Linked DNA regions of Arabidopsis thaliana. The protein of the gene in region 1 purifies or fractionates together with the protein of each later gene. This does not show direct contact. Each region holds a gene or a part of one and is shown on either strand. Other genes may lie near its edges.

Region 1 (5,745 bases):
TCCTTTAAAGCTAGACATACAATCCTTCTTGATCCGTTTTATCACCTTTTCTTTCAGAAACATTTGAGGTAGATCTTGGTATCACAAAGAAGCTACTTGAGGGAGAGCGTGGCGAACTGATCCGTCAAAAAGACATCCTTGTAAGTAGTATTTCACATCCCCTGTTTCTCTTACCCCTTACAATGTTACACACACCTTACTTAAAGTTTGTATATCCTCAACTTGTCTTCACATTGTAGGTGGTTGGAGAATCTGGGTTATTCACTCCCGAAGATATCGCCTTTGTTCAAGAAGCCGGTGTCAAAGCAGTAAGCTTTCACAAACTTTATAGTTCAAGATAACATTGCCCACAATGATATTGGTTCACCTGATCTTAGCTCCCATGTGATTTTCTTTTCCTGTTATTAGGTTTTAGTCGGCGAATCTCTTATTAAACAAAGCGATCCCGGGAAGGCAATCAGCACCCTATTTGGAAGAGATGTCTCAGAGTAAATTCCGAGTAGAAACTTTTTGTATAGAGAAAATCTTCATTGAAGTCTCTTTTTTTCTTCTTAAGTGCCGCTCAAGTGCGCAGAGGCTTGTGCCTTTACAGAAATGTCCAATTATTATTATTTTCTTGTCTTACATACACATTGTGTACTTAAATTTATCCATCAAATGTCAAATCTTGGTCGACGTTTTAATGAGTACATGAGGATAAATCATTAACTACGGTAAATCGGTCCATGATTCAATAACTGACTGTCACCGGTAAGAGAAAAAAAGAAGCCGAGTTCATATAAATAAATAGACTTAACAACATCAACGATCACTCCTTTATTGAGAGACCAACTAACATAAAACGTAAAGTGCAATGACTGACTCATGGAAGTTGGATGAGAGATAGATCCATCTATTTAGTTTACCAACCTGAGAAGAAAACACATGAGAGGAGATCATGAGTTCCTTTCCTGCATTCTACATCTTCGATCTATGAACGCTAAGCAGAATGTGAGTTACCTGGATTCATAATGCATCAAAGGAGCTCAAGAACTAGAGCAGAAGCACCTCCTCCTCCGTTGCACACTCCTCCCACACCGTACTTTCCGTTTCTCTTCTTTAGTATCCCAAGCAACGTGATTAGAATACGGGCGCCACTGCAGCCTAGAGGGTGTCCTAAGGAGACAGCTCCTCCATTTACGTTCACTTTCTCCTGTTTAGGCAAAGAGGAACAAAATCCATGTTTATGAAACCACTTGATTAAGTTGATTGAGAAGATGATGATTTAACAGACTCGGTGATATAAAAGACTTACTGGAGCAATCCCGAGTAGCTTTTGATTTGCAAGTGCTACAACCTGTGAAAAGTCAGTTTAGTAAAAATTACGCATCACAATGGTTTGTCAATTATGTAAGGAAGAAGACAGATGTTCTTACTGCAAATGCTTCATTGATCTCATAGTAATCAACTTGAGAAGATTCCAAACCAGCATGTGCAATGGCTTTTGGTATAGCAAGAGCAGGAGCAGTAGTGAAAAACTCTGGTTCCTGCAGGGTTTGGGTCTCACTTAGTGAATGGAATCAGATTGTATTCAAAAAGGGAATGCAAGATTATAAGTAACGTACCTGAGCTGCGTCACCATACCCTTTAATTTTTGCTAATACTAGAAGTCCTAGCTGAAGAGCCTTCTCTCCGCTCACTAGGACAAGGGCAGCTGCACCATCACTGTCAAAGAGAGACAAAATTTACTAAAGAGAAAAAAAAGTTGCAAATCTAACCAAGATCCACTTCATACGTTACATGAGTTCTCTAAAAGCTAAGAACATATATATGGTCAGCTAGGAAAAGGACCTTATGCTAGACGCATTTCCAGCTGTAACAGTCCCTCCATTCTCTTTGAAACTAGGACGGAGTTTCCTCAATTTTGCAGCATCAAACTGAGACATTGAGACATCATACATGTAGCAAATCATACTAAATTAGATCTCATTTTTTGGAGTTATCTTAACCACAAGTTTCATTTGCTGACGTGTAATGCCTCATACAGTAGAAGATACAAATGAATAAAAATTTATGACTGAAAACATAAACATGAATAGAATTTTCTCAAAACAGTAGTCAATGCAAATACTCTATTGTTCAGCAAAGTTCACTTAGAAAACAATCTGTATGCAACAGGTGAATAACATGAAAAAGCACAATCTCAGGTTCACTGGAGTATAAATGCATAATCGTTAAACCAAAAGGGGACATAAATCACCTTCCCAAGACCTTCGTCCTTGTCAACAATGGTTGATGGCCTACCTCTTCCTCCAGAAACTTCAACCTGCATAACCAATTACCTTAGTATATATTCACCATGTATAACGCATTAACCAAAAATTACAAAAAATATACTAACCGGGACGATTTCCCATGTGAAGGCGCCAGCTTCCTGGGCAGCAATACCACGCTCAAAACTCTGAACTGCATAGTCATCCTGCATATTCATCAGTAAGACACCAATCAACTCATGTTTTGAGTTTCCATAAAGAATGAGCCCAACTAACCAATTCTAGTAGTTCACAGATGGCTAATGATCAAGGCAGTGGAATTGTACAGAGGATGTATGCAGAGTATCTATCAATAATAAGTTGATGGGGTACAAATATGCAACAAGCATCACGAGTCTTAATTCAAGAAAACTAAGGATCAACATACTTGCTGCTCCCTTGTAATCTGAAACTTCTCAGCGCATAATTCTGCACAGCTTCCCATCCCACAGTCGTTATAGACATCCCATAGTCCATCCTTCAACATTCCATCTACTAAAGAATCATGACCAAAACGAGATCCCTTCCTGCATCAAAATCCGAATAAGAAACAATGATGCATAGAGTAAAAAGACCAAATGATTCCGTAAAACCACATCATTTTACCTTGCTTCTGCCAAATATTTTGGTGTATTAGACATGCTTTCCATACCACCCGCCACAACTACATCATTGATCCCTAACTGGATACTTTGAGCAGCAATCATTACCGCTGAAAAACCACCAAACAAACCAGAAAAACATTGTCAAAAGCATCAAATCAAAAGTCTAAAAAATGCAGAGCGCAAATGTTCCAAAGTTCTCACCTTTCATGCCTGATGCACAAACCTTGTTAACTGTAGTACAGATAACAGAGTTAGGGATTCCTGCACCTAAAGCAGCTTGACGAGCAGGAGCTTGACCCAAATTAGCACTAAGAACATTGCCAAAGACAACTTCTTGAACAAGAGCTGGATCAACATTTGCTCTCTTCAAAGCAGCTAAATCATTAAAAACAACAACAAGGGCTCGTCAATTATACATAAAGCTAAAGATTTTGCACAGAAACATGAACTGTTTTTTAATACCTGCAATAGCTAAAGATCCAAGCTTTGTGGCAGGTAAAGATGAAAGAGATCCGAGAAAGCCACCCATTGGAGTACGTGCAACACCCACAATGCAAACATCTGATTCATCAACATTCATATATCAAAAAAAAAATTCATCCTTCAAATTCAGTTTACTAATGAAAGTGTTTTGTTACCTCTAGGATTCACAGATTCTGATGTATGGGCCATTGCTAATCTACAAAATGGTGTCAAAAGTCAACAAGGGACCAATCTCATTAAGAACCAGATCCCCTATAAACATTTGGGATCTATGTGGGATCATTTACCTTGATTCTTCAATTCCAGAAGAGAGCGCCGAATGGAGAGAGCTGAAAGAAGTGAGTCGTTGTGAAAATGACAGCGAATTCTACAATAAAACTGGAGAGAGAAACAGGGACAGAGGGTCCTATAAAAGAGGACGCTTTCTTGTGATGTTGTTGTTGTTGGTGAATCAGCGACGATAACTACGATGAAGAGCAACACGACTGCTATATGATCTGTCTTTCAAAAAATAAAATAAAAATTATCTGTACTTCAAACTCTTTAAATGTTTTAAAATAAATTATTGTTAAATTACTGTATCAACCCCTTCTTCTACATAAATCATCATTGATAGCAAATATATATTTGAAAATAATTGCACATGGAAATTGGAAACTTTGTTATTTACGCAAATCTTTATTTATTTTGTTTTGTGGAAAACGCAAATCCTTATTTAAGATATAATTTGCACAAAGAATCTTTATTATTTACACAAAATCTCTATTTTAAATATATTTATTTGTTGTTTGTTGACTCATTTAATATATGGTGGGTGGGTCGGCGATTGGGACGAAAGTTAAAGGGTAAACATTGGAAACAAATAATTCGGATGGTAAAAGATAGTATTATTCAATTTATTTTGATTCAAAGACGGGATTAAAATTTTGGGTTCTAAATTAGGTTCAAAAGTTTTATGTAATGAAATTCCACATTGGGACATGTATTTGGAGAACATTCTACTTTAAGATAAATATTTCTAATTTTTTGGGTATTTTGATTTTTGTTTGGAAAAGTAATATACTAAAATGGATAATACGAATACTCTCTCCCACACTTAATCCAAATGGATAGACATAATTGGGTGAGAAGGAAATCTAAATAGCTTTATTGTACATTCCCTTAATAGAAGTTAAACTCTTGAGTCTTCTTAAGTTAATAAATTTATTGTGGGACAAACTAAACCAAGATAGATTTTTGTGTTCATATGAGCTTGTTAAAGTAGAAATCTAAAATTGAAAATAAGATGGTTCATTAAGTTTAATTGTGCAAGAAATCGAAAAGAAGAAAATATTCAGATTGTCACCACGATTAAAGTGGTTCTTTGACTGGTCTCATACAAAGCAAAAAAAGAAGAAGAGAGAGTTAACACAAGAAGCAACTCCTAAAGATAACTTCCCTTCTTCTCATTATACAAATCTATATAAATCTATTTTAATGACAACCCTAAACATATGGGCTAATAAGTTATTTCTATGACAATGAGTTTTTATTTTGGACAAACTTCTATGACAATGATTAAGTGTTCCAATAACTGCAGTTTGTTTGACCAAGATTTTGATTCCAATTTTTAATTTTTATTCGATATGCAATTATTAAAATCCGACTCAACCCCAAATTACGACCCAAATTCAACTAACAAACACGAATGGGATGGAGATTGATTTTTTTTTTTAGTGAATTAGGATGGGGATTGATTTTCTGTCTGGAAATGGAATAGGTTGTTGGGAACGAAAAAGCAATCTACTAAATACTCTCTATTGTACCTTCCCTTGATACAAAAGTTAAACTCTAAGTTAATGAAATTGTAGTTAGGCCAAAGTTTTTTTTCTGTTTAAGGGCAAATTATAATTATTTATTAATTGTTTATCAAAAATAAAATATCGGTCAACGCATAATTCTGACAACCGAAGTAGAATGGTTATGGTATTGGCAACATAACTTATATTTATTTGTGTATGTCGGTATGTTATAACAATATATAGTGTAGCTAACAAGACATTTTTAAAGTATGCATGTGTGACTAGATGATGACATCTCTTTCGTATAAGTAGCAAACATTTATCCATTTTTGTGCTCATATAAACTTATTAACATAAAAATCTAAAATTGAAAATAAGATAGTTAGTTAAGTTTTATTGTGCAAGAAATAGAAAAGAATAAAATATTGGGATTGTCATCAAGATTAAAGTGGTTCCTTGATTGATCTCACCAAAAAAAAAAAAAAAAGAGACTTCTACGAGAGGCAACTCCTAAAAATACTTCTCTTCTTCTTATCACACAAATTATGAATCTGTTTTGATGGAAACCTAAACACATGGGTTAAT
Region 2 (7,074 bases), on another chromosome or scaffold:
ATGCATTCTTAAGATCATTTTCTTCTGTGTCCGACTCCAAATTGCCAACATAGCACGTGAATTCAACATTTGTGGAAGCCATTTTGAAAGAGTAAGAGAGTTCAAAAACAAGTAGTGATTTCTAAGTAGAAAACATAGCAATTTTATGAGTGACATAAAATGAGAGACACTTTAGTCAATTTATAGAAAAAGGTTAGCGGTAAATGCATGTGATGATATCGATAAATGCTATTAACTCTAATATGGTTTGAAACAAGTGTATTTTTTTCTTGGAACTAGTTTACACTAAATGATGATACTTTTATAGTGGAAGGCGAAAAGTTTATGTTTTTTGGTCATGGTCGTGTATAGTTTGTTTAGATGATAATTAGAAAAACAGTCAAAACAAAACTCAAATTTTCGATCCAAAGATTATTGAATTTTGGGTTTTAATTGGAAAAGAAAAAACACAATAAATTAAAGATCGTTAACTTTGACTTTGATGAGTCTACAACATCTTAAAGTTCAAAAAATACAATAAGGTTTAAACTAGTGATTTTTTTTGGGAACTAGTTTTCACTAAATAATGATACTACTTTATAGGTTTAAGGTTTCAGTTTTCTTTGGTCATGGTCCATGTAGATTGAGTTGTTTACATGATAATTAAAAAACAGTCAAAATAAAACTCAAAATTTCGTAATTCGAGTTTATTGAATTCAGGGATTTTTGGGTTTCAATTGGGAATGAAGACACATAATAACTTGTATATATAAGTTTCACTTTGACTTTTATGAGTTTACGACTCAAAGAATGTCATTTAGGGGTTTTATTTGACAAATTAGGCAAATTTGAGATTTTTACTTTTTCTTATTCCCATGGTTACTTCTAGAGTTCTAGTCACCATAGTGATTAAAAGAAGGAAACTAAGCATGAGAAAATACTAGAGAGCTGAAAAATAAACAAAGGGTTCTTCTTGAAGCTGATTCGATAATCCAAAAGTAAAAAAAGTATTTGAAGTTAAGGTCTCATTATTGCTTTTGAGACGTTGGCATTGCCAGAGATACTGAAGTTGGAATATCTTTCCACTGTTGTGTAACAGTTTTGATCTGAGTGAAAAAGTCCACTCCTGCTTTGCCTGCAAAAATAGTTCACTCAAAGTATATATATAAGCAAAGAGAAAGGAGAATGGATCTTCTTTTGTTTAGTTGTGACAAGAATTTTACCATAGAAGTTAAGATCTCCTGCGAATGAGGCCTTGTTCCCGGTGAAGGAAAAGAACGGTAATGGAACCGGGATTGGAACATTAATACCGATCTGGGCAAACATTAACAACAACAAAAGAAGATATCAAACATGTAATCAAATGCATACAAGTAATGTTGTATTTTATAGGGCCCAAAGTTCTTCATACCTGTCCTGCTTCTATGTCCATCTGGAACTTTCTTGCTGCTGCCCCGGACGACGTGAAAATCGCAGCACCGTTCCCATACCTGTTGACGGCGTAAGTAGCAAATTGTTGAAGATGATGAGACGATTAAATTTTAGTATTAAGATGATGATAGAACAGGGTGTTTTACTTGTTTTTATTTATTATAGATATGGCCTCATCAAAACTGTTTGCCTGTAAATGAATATGTCACAAAAGCATCAGAGGGCATTAATCTCACAATTCACGAATAAATGAATGATATAAGACTAGTTTTCCAATCTGACCTGCATGCACACAAGAACAGGGCCAAATATTTCCTCCTGCGAAGAAAAATGAATTTTTAAGATTCAAGTAGAGTACGGATCATTTGCCTTAATGTCAGAAAATACCTTGTAACACTCCATGTCTGGGGTAACACCAGATAGAATGGTAGGACCGATAAAATTCCCTTTCTCATATCCTGGAACCTGTTTGTTATAAGAGAAAACATATAAACTTCTCGGACCAGTTGATCTTTGCGTTGTTTTCAAGATTACACAAAGATTATTAAATCAAGATATTTCTGCGGTTCTTGATGATTACTATTTGATAAGAATGTGGAGGGTAGTGCTATATTTAAGGCATGAGTCTGTTGCAATAGCAGTAAATATGGAGAATGGGAAAATACCACAATATCTCTTCCGTCAAGCAGCAATTTAGCACCATCATCTACACCAGACTGAATCAACCGGCATATCCGTTCTTTCGCCTAGTCATATCAAAATTTAACAATAACGTATACATATTGAACAACAGACAGAATGCAAAACTAAACATAATTTTTACACATGTAAGTTCAGAGGTTTGTGCGCGAAAATACCTGTTTACTAATCACAGGACCCAGGTCTGCATCTGGTTCTGACCCACATGTGACTTTAAGGGCCTTAGCTCGCTCAACGAGTTTATCCTCCCTGGTTAGTATTAGACAAGTTAAAGCTAATCTTTCATGACTGTCAAATGAAAATCAACAGGCCTCATACATATTCTTCAGTTACATTTAGTATTAGGACACAACAATAGTCAATCTAAATTAAAGAAAATGGTGTTATCTTAACTATCCTATATATGGCTTAAGCACCCTAAAGGCGTGGTTCTGGAAACCGTACGAGAGAAAAAGATTACAGGAAAATGTGTTTATCACAAGAAATATAAGATATTCGAGAAACTGGAGTAATTTGAATATATAAAGTAAGCAGTACCATGATTTTGCATCGCCAACAAAAACCACTGTACTCAGTGCCATGCATCTCTGTCCAGCGGCACCAAACCCAGCAGCAAGTAGCGCATTTAAAGTTGCATCGATGTTGGCATCAGGCAAGACAAGTCCATGATTTTTCGCCCCCATATTTGACTGAGTCAATATATTATAAGCAATTTGACATAGTGTCGTTTCGAAATAGCAAGGAAGACTTTTAAATGGGAAAAGATGCAAGACTTTACCTGAATACGTTTTCCTTTTGCTGCTGCTCTTGCGTATATATGCATTCCAGCCTTTAAACAAAACAATGCATTAATACGCAAGTTTAACGAAAAGGTTGAGCTCAGAAGAAAAGCAATTCTGCCATTACCAGTCCATATTGACAGATTTTGAAGATCTAAGGTATGATTTTGTATACAATTAACGTTTTATTAGACAGCTGAAATAATTACACAGGACACTGACTAAATGAATATTTGTAAATAACTCGGTCAAATGCAAAGCCAAGTCTGCAGGCTATAAAAGAGCAACATAAAAAAAAAAGTACTTACCGTGTTGGAGCCAACAAAAGAAACAGCCCTTATATCTTCATCATCACAGATAGCATTCACAGTATCCTGTGCAACAGATGCATTTTCAGTGACAACAAAGAAAGTGAAGGTAATAGTGCGGAATCTTTACAAACTAGGTTACTCTAATTGCAAACTAGAATATTCACCATAATATCTCTCGACGGGATCCTTACTTTAACAATTCAAATGCTAACAAATAAGAAATTTAGAAAGAGCAGAAAGTTTAAACATAACCTACATTGGTTCCGTGAACGATATTGAGAACCCCATCAGGTAAACCAGCTTCCATTGCCAACTCGGCAAGTATTACAGAAGCACCTGGAGAAAGCAAGTAATATCAATAATCAACCAATCAATAGAAGGGACCTCTATAGCTATAGTGGAAAACAGTCAATCAACAATACATTTCGCTCATCACATTGGCGGTGGTAGTAAAATGCATGTTCACTACACTGGCATCAACGATATGTTACAACATGATCTGAAAGTCAAGACATCTTGAACTTCCCATACATCAATTAAACACCACAGAAGTGTCTATTAGTAACTGGAATAGTTCGAAGGAATAAGGGTATTTTACCGGGATCCTTCTCTGATGGCTTCAGAATAAAGGTATTACCACATGTCACTGCAACAGGAAACATCTGCACTAACAAACACATAATAAATACGCAGAATTCACATAAGAGAATCACAAAGAATTAACGATATACATAATGAAGCCATATAAAAAAGGGCTTAGCATGTTACCCATAAAGGAATCATGGCTGGAAAGTTAAAAGGACAAATGCCAGCACAAACACCTAATGGCTCTCTAATACTATATGTATCAACTCCGTTCGACACATTGGGGAGATATTCACCCATCTGTAAGGTTGCCATTCCACACGCATGCTCCACAACCTCTGCGTAAGAAACCATGTACCAAAAATAAGCACTAAGGTTCTCCTCTTCTTGTCAATCATATAATCAAACCTACAATACATAAATAAAATACTAACCTAACCCACGGAAGATATCACCATGTGAATCCTTTAAAGTCTTCCCTTGCTCGGTTGTGATGTTCATAGCAAGTTTATCCTACAGAAAAATCAAAACTTTCAGCCAAGCACATATCAAGATCATAGCAAACTAAACCAGGTAGCTACCATATTCTTGCGTATAAGCTCTTGAAACTTTAGCATAACACGCTGCCGGGTAGTAATCGGCGTGTTTCTCCACAACGGAAACGCTTGCTTCGCAGCGGATACCGCAGCTTTAAACTCTTCATTAGTAGTCAATGGAACTTTAGATACAACCTCTTGTGTAGCCTAATAATAGCAAATCAGAATTTACTTCAAAGTTCAAACCTTTAAGTAATCAAACAAGAGTATAGGACTCATAAGAGAGTTTGCTTACAGGGTTTATAACATCGATAAACGAAGATGATTGAGACTCAACAAAAGAACCTCCAATAAGATTTGGTACTCTCTGAAAACAGAACCCACATCGAAAAATCAAAACTTTTGAATAAAAATCACATCGAAATCGATCTAAGAACTCACCGGAGGCATTTGTGGTTGAGTAGATTGCTCCGGCGAAGTTGATAACCAAGAGCTTCGAAGAGCGAGAAATTGTGGTCTCAAAGGTCTCAGATTGTTACCTGAAAACAGTAACAAAAACTAGCTTCGATAGTATCGAAGTCTGCAGATTTTGATTCGAGTACAAGAGAATCGAGATTTTTACCAGAAATTCGAAGCAGCATCGTTGTTGTTGTTGTTGTTGTTGATGATGATGATCGGAGTTTGGTGTTGTCGTCTGCTTCTTTGTATAAGCGTCTCCTTTTGGTTTTGGATTTGAGTGATGAGTGAATGCTGACTCGATGTTGATCGGGTGCGAATGAAGTGGTTGGATTTCGCCACGTGGGTGGATATGTACCGTTAGATCTATAAGATTCAAGATTCTTTTGTTTGACTCTCACCATCACCAAGATATATGTACATGGTTGACAAAAAAAAAAAAGATATTTAGCCTTAACAATTTTAAAACTAAAAGCAAGTCCAAGAGCTTTTTATGGGGCTCTTCCAAATCTTTTAATTATAAATTTTATCAAATTCAAATTTAAGAGTTTTGGATAGATTGTTAAATTTTTTTTGTCTAATGAAAAAAGTGGGCTTTTAAAAAAAAATTATTATTAAAATAAAAATTATAAATATTTTATTTTATAAAACTGAATAGTTATTGCAAATACACCAATTTTAAAGATACATGACATAAAAGCATATATAAAATACGAAAATCGAAAATCAGAATAACGATTAATTGTTAGCTTAATTCCCGCCAAATGTTTGTTATATATGCTTAACCAAATTAGCTTTCAATTGTGGATGTATAGCCAGATCACGAACTCGGGCTCGAGCGGCCATAATATTGCCGAGATTTGAAAGCATATCTGTAAAATAGTTGAAATCCATTTGTAAAGAGCTGGTTGATTTTGGTTGTGTGAATTCAGCTGCATCAAACTGAATGTACTTATCTTGTTCATCCTCTACTATCATATTGGGAAGTATTATGCATGCTCGCATGATCATTCCTATTTTTTTCTTATCCCAAATAAGAGCTGGATTGACAATTACAAACCAAGTTTGCAAAACTCCCAAAGCACGTTAACCATTTTGACAACAAGCTTCTTAATTTGTAACAAATAAAGAATCTTTGTGACCTTGTGGAATTGAAATAGATTGGATAAATGTAGCCCATTTAGGATAAATTCTATCAGTGAGATAATAAACCAAATGATAGTAGGTCCAGTTGACGATATATTTCACTTTTGGAGCTCGACCTTGTAATTTATCATCAAAAACTGGTAAGCAATCAAGTATATATATCATTTAAGAAATCTGGAGGTCCAAAAAAAGTATGTCATATCCAAAGATCTTGGAAAGCAATAGCCTTTAACACTATTGCCGGTTTGCCAGATACACGTGTATATTATCCTTTCCAAAAGGTGGGGCAATTCTTCCACTTCCAGTGCATACAATCGATGCTTCCTATCATCCCAAAAAATTCATGTACCTCTCCAATACGGAGTAGTCGTTTAAGATCTTGTCGTGTAGGTCTACTTAGATACTCTTTCCCAAACAAATATATAATTCATTCAACAAAATGTATCATACATGATATCGAAGTGCTTTCACAATCTGTAGGTATTCGTCAACCGCATCCACTGAACAACCATATGCAATCATATGAATTGTTGTTGTACACTTCGTAGTGCCGATAAACCTAACCTGCCGATAACATCTCTTCTTTGTTCAAAGCATGAAATTTCATTGGAGAGTCCGTCAACAATACGTATAAACAATGGCTTGTTCATTCTAAATCGGTGTCACAATATATGAGGAGGGAATGTCGCATCTTCTTTGAAATAATCGTTCTACAACTGGATGTGTCCTAGTTCACGATCTCTTGCAATATATGCTCATTTTTGTTGACTTGGTTGGTTGACGATCAACATATCTCTATAATGTTTCATTGAAAAATTGATCAAACTTATCGTCAAGATTATAAGATGAAGAAGATCTCATGTTTGATGAACTATGAAGATAAATGTTTGGAGAAAAAGAAGATTGTTTGGTGAAAAGGAAGATTGTTTTGGAGAAAAGAAATATTTTTTTGGAGAAAAGGAAGATTGTTTTAGAGAATAATAGAGAGAATTGTATTGTTTGTTGTAATAAAGATTATGTACTATATATATAAACACAAAGTGTAACGAACAATGAATACAAGTGGTGTAATATCGGAATATAGTTTTGTGATGTACAATTATTCAAACCAATGCACAAAAAAACAAACAAACTAAGTGGTGGCTTTGAAAA

What was found.
Region 2: the proteins of ACAT2 (region 1) and ALDH6B2 fractionate together in Arabidopsis thaliana (co-fractionation; one large-scale study listed by BioGRID). This does not show direct contact.

The regions. Positions count from the first base shown.
Region 1 is NC_003076.8:19,551,555-19,557,299, forward strand, and holds ACAT2 (acetoacetyl-CoA thiolase 2), read right to left. Parts: upstream 3,978-5,745; 5' UTR 3,667-3,977; intron 3,576-3,666; 5' UTR 3,569-3,575; coding exon 3,535-3,568; exon of another isoform or gene 3,477-3,534; coding exon of another isoform or gene 3,458-3,476; coding exon 3,359-3,457; intron 3,272-3,358; coding exon 3,098-3,271; intron 3,004-3,097; coding exon 2,898-3,003; intron 2,819-2,897; coding exon 2,680-2,818; intron 2,459-2,679; coding exon 2,381-2,458; intron 2,306-2,380; coding exon 2,240-2,305; intron 1,917-2,239; coding exon 1,831-1,916; intron 1,705-1,830; coding exon 1,605-1,704; intron 1,527-1,604; coding exon 1,416-1,526; intron 1,337-1,415; coding exon 1,295-1,336; intron 1,193-1,294; coding exon 1,016-1,192; 3' UTR 1,000-1,015; intron 910-999; 3' UTR 588-909; downstream 1-587. Other genes in the region: AT5G48220 (Aldolase-type TIM barrel family protein), read left to right, coding at 58-140, 240-308, 409-492. UniProt on the Arabidopsis thaliana protein: Catalyzes the condensation of two molecules of acetyl-CoA to produce acetoacetyl-CoA. Generates the bulk of the acetoacetyl-CoA precursor required for the cytosol-localized, mevalonate-derived isoprenoid biosynthesis.
Region 2 is NC_003071.7:5,976,720-5,983,793, forward strand, and holds ALDH6B2 (aldehyde dehydrogenase 6B2), read right to left. Parts: upstream 5,181-7,074; coding exon 4,943-5,180; intron 4,898-4,942; exon of another isoform or gene 4,860-4,897; coding exon 4,762-4,859; intron 4,688-4,761; coding exon 4,616-4,687; intron 4,528-4,615; coding exon 4,366-4,527; intron 4,298-4,365; coding exon 4,219-4,297; intron 4,123-4,218; coding exon 3,968-4,122; intron 3,862-3,967; coding exon 3,798-3,861; intron 3,536-3,797; coding exon 3,456-3,535; intron 3,263-3,455; coding exon 3,197-3,262; intron 2,939-3,196; coding exon 2,888-2,938; intron 2,799-2,887; coding exon 2,647-2,798; intron 2,359-2,646; coding exon 2,268-2,358; intron 2,157-2,267; coding exon 2,076-2,156; intron 1,876-2,075; coding exon 1,798-1,875; intron 1,729-1,797; coding exon 1,693-1,728; intron 1,601-1,692; coding exon 1,557-1,600; intron 1,470-1,556; coding exon 1,391-1,469; intron 1,294-1,390; coding exon 1,203-1,293; coding exon of another isoform or gene 1,132-1,202; exon of another isoform or gene 1,115-1,131; coding exon 1,008-1,114; and 2 more. Other genes in the region: AT2G14160 (RNA-binding (RRM/RBD/RNP motifs) family protein), read right to left, coding at 1-82.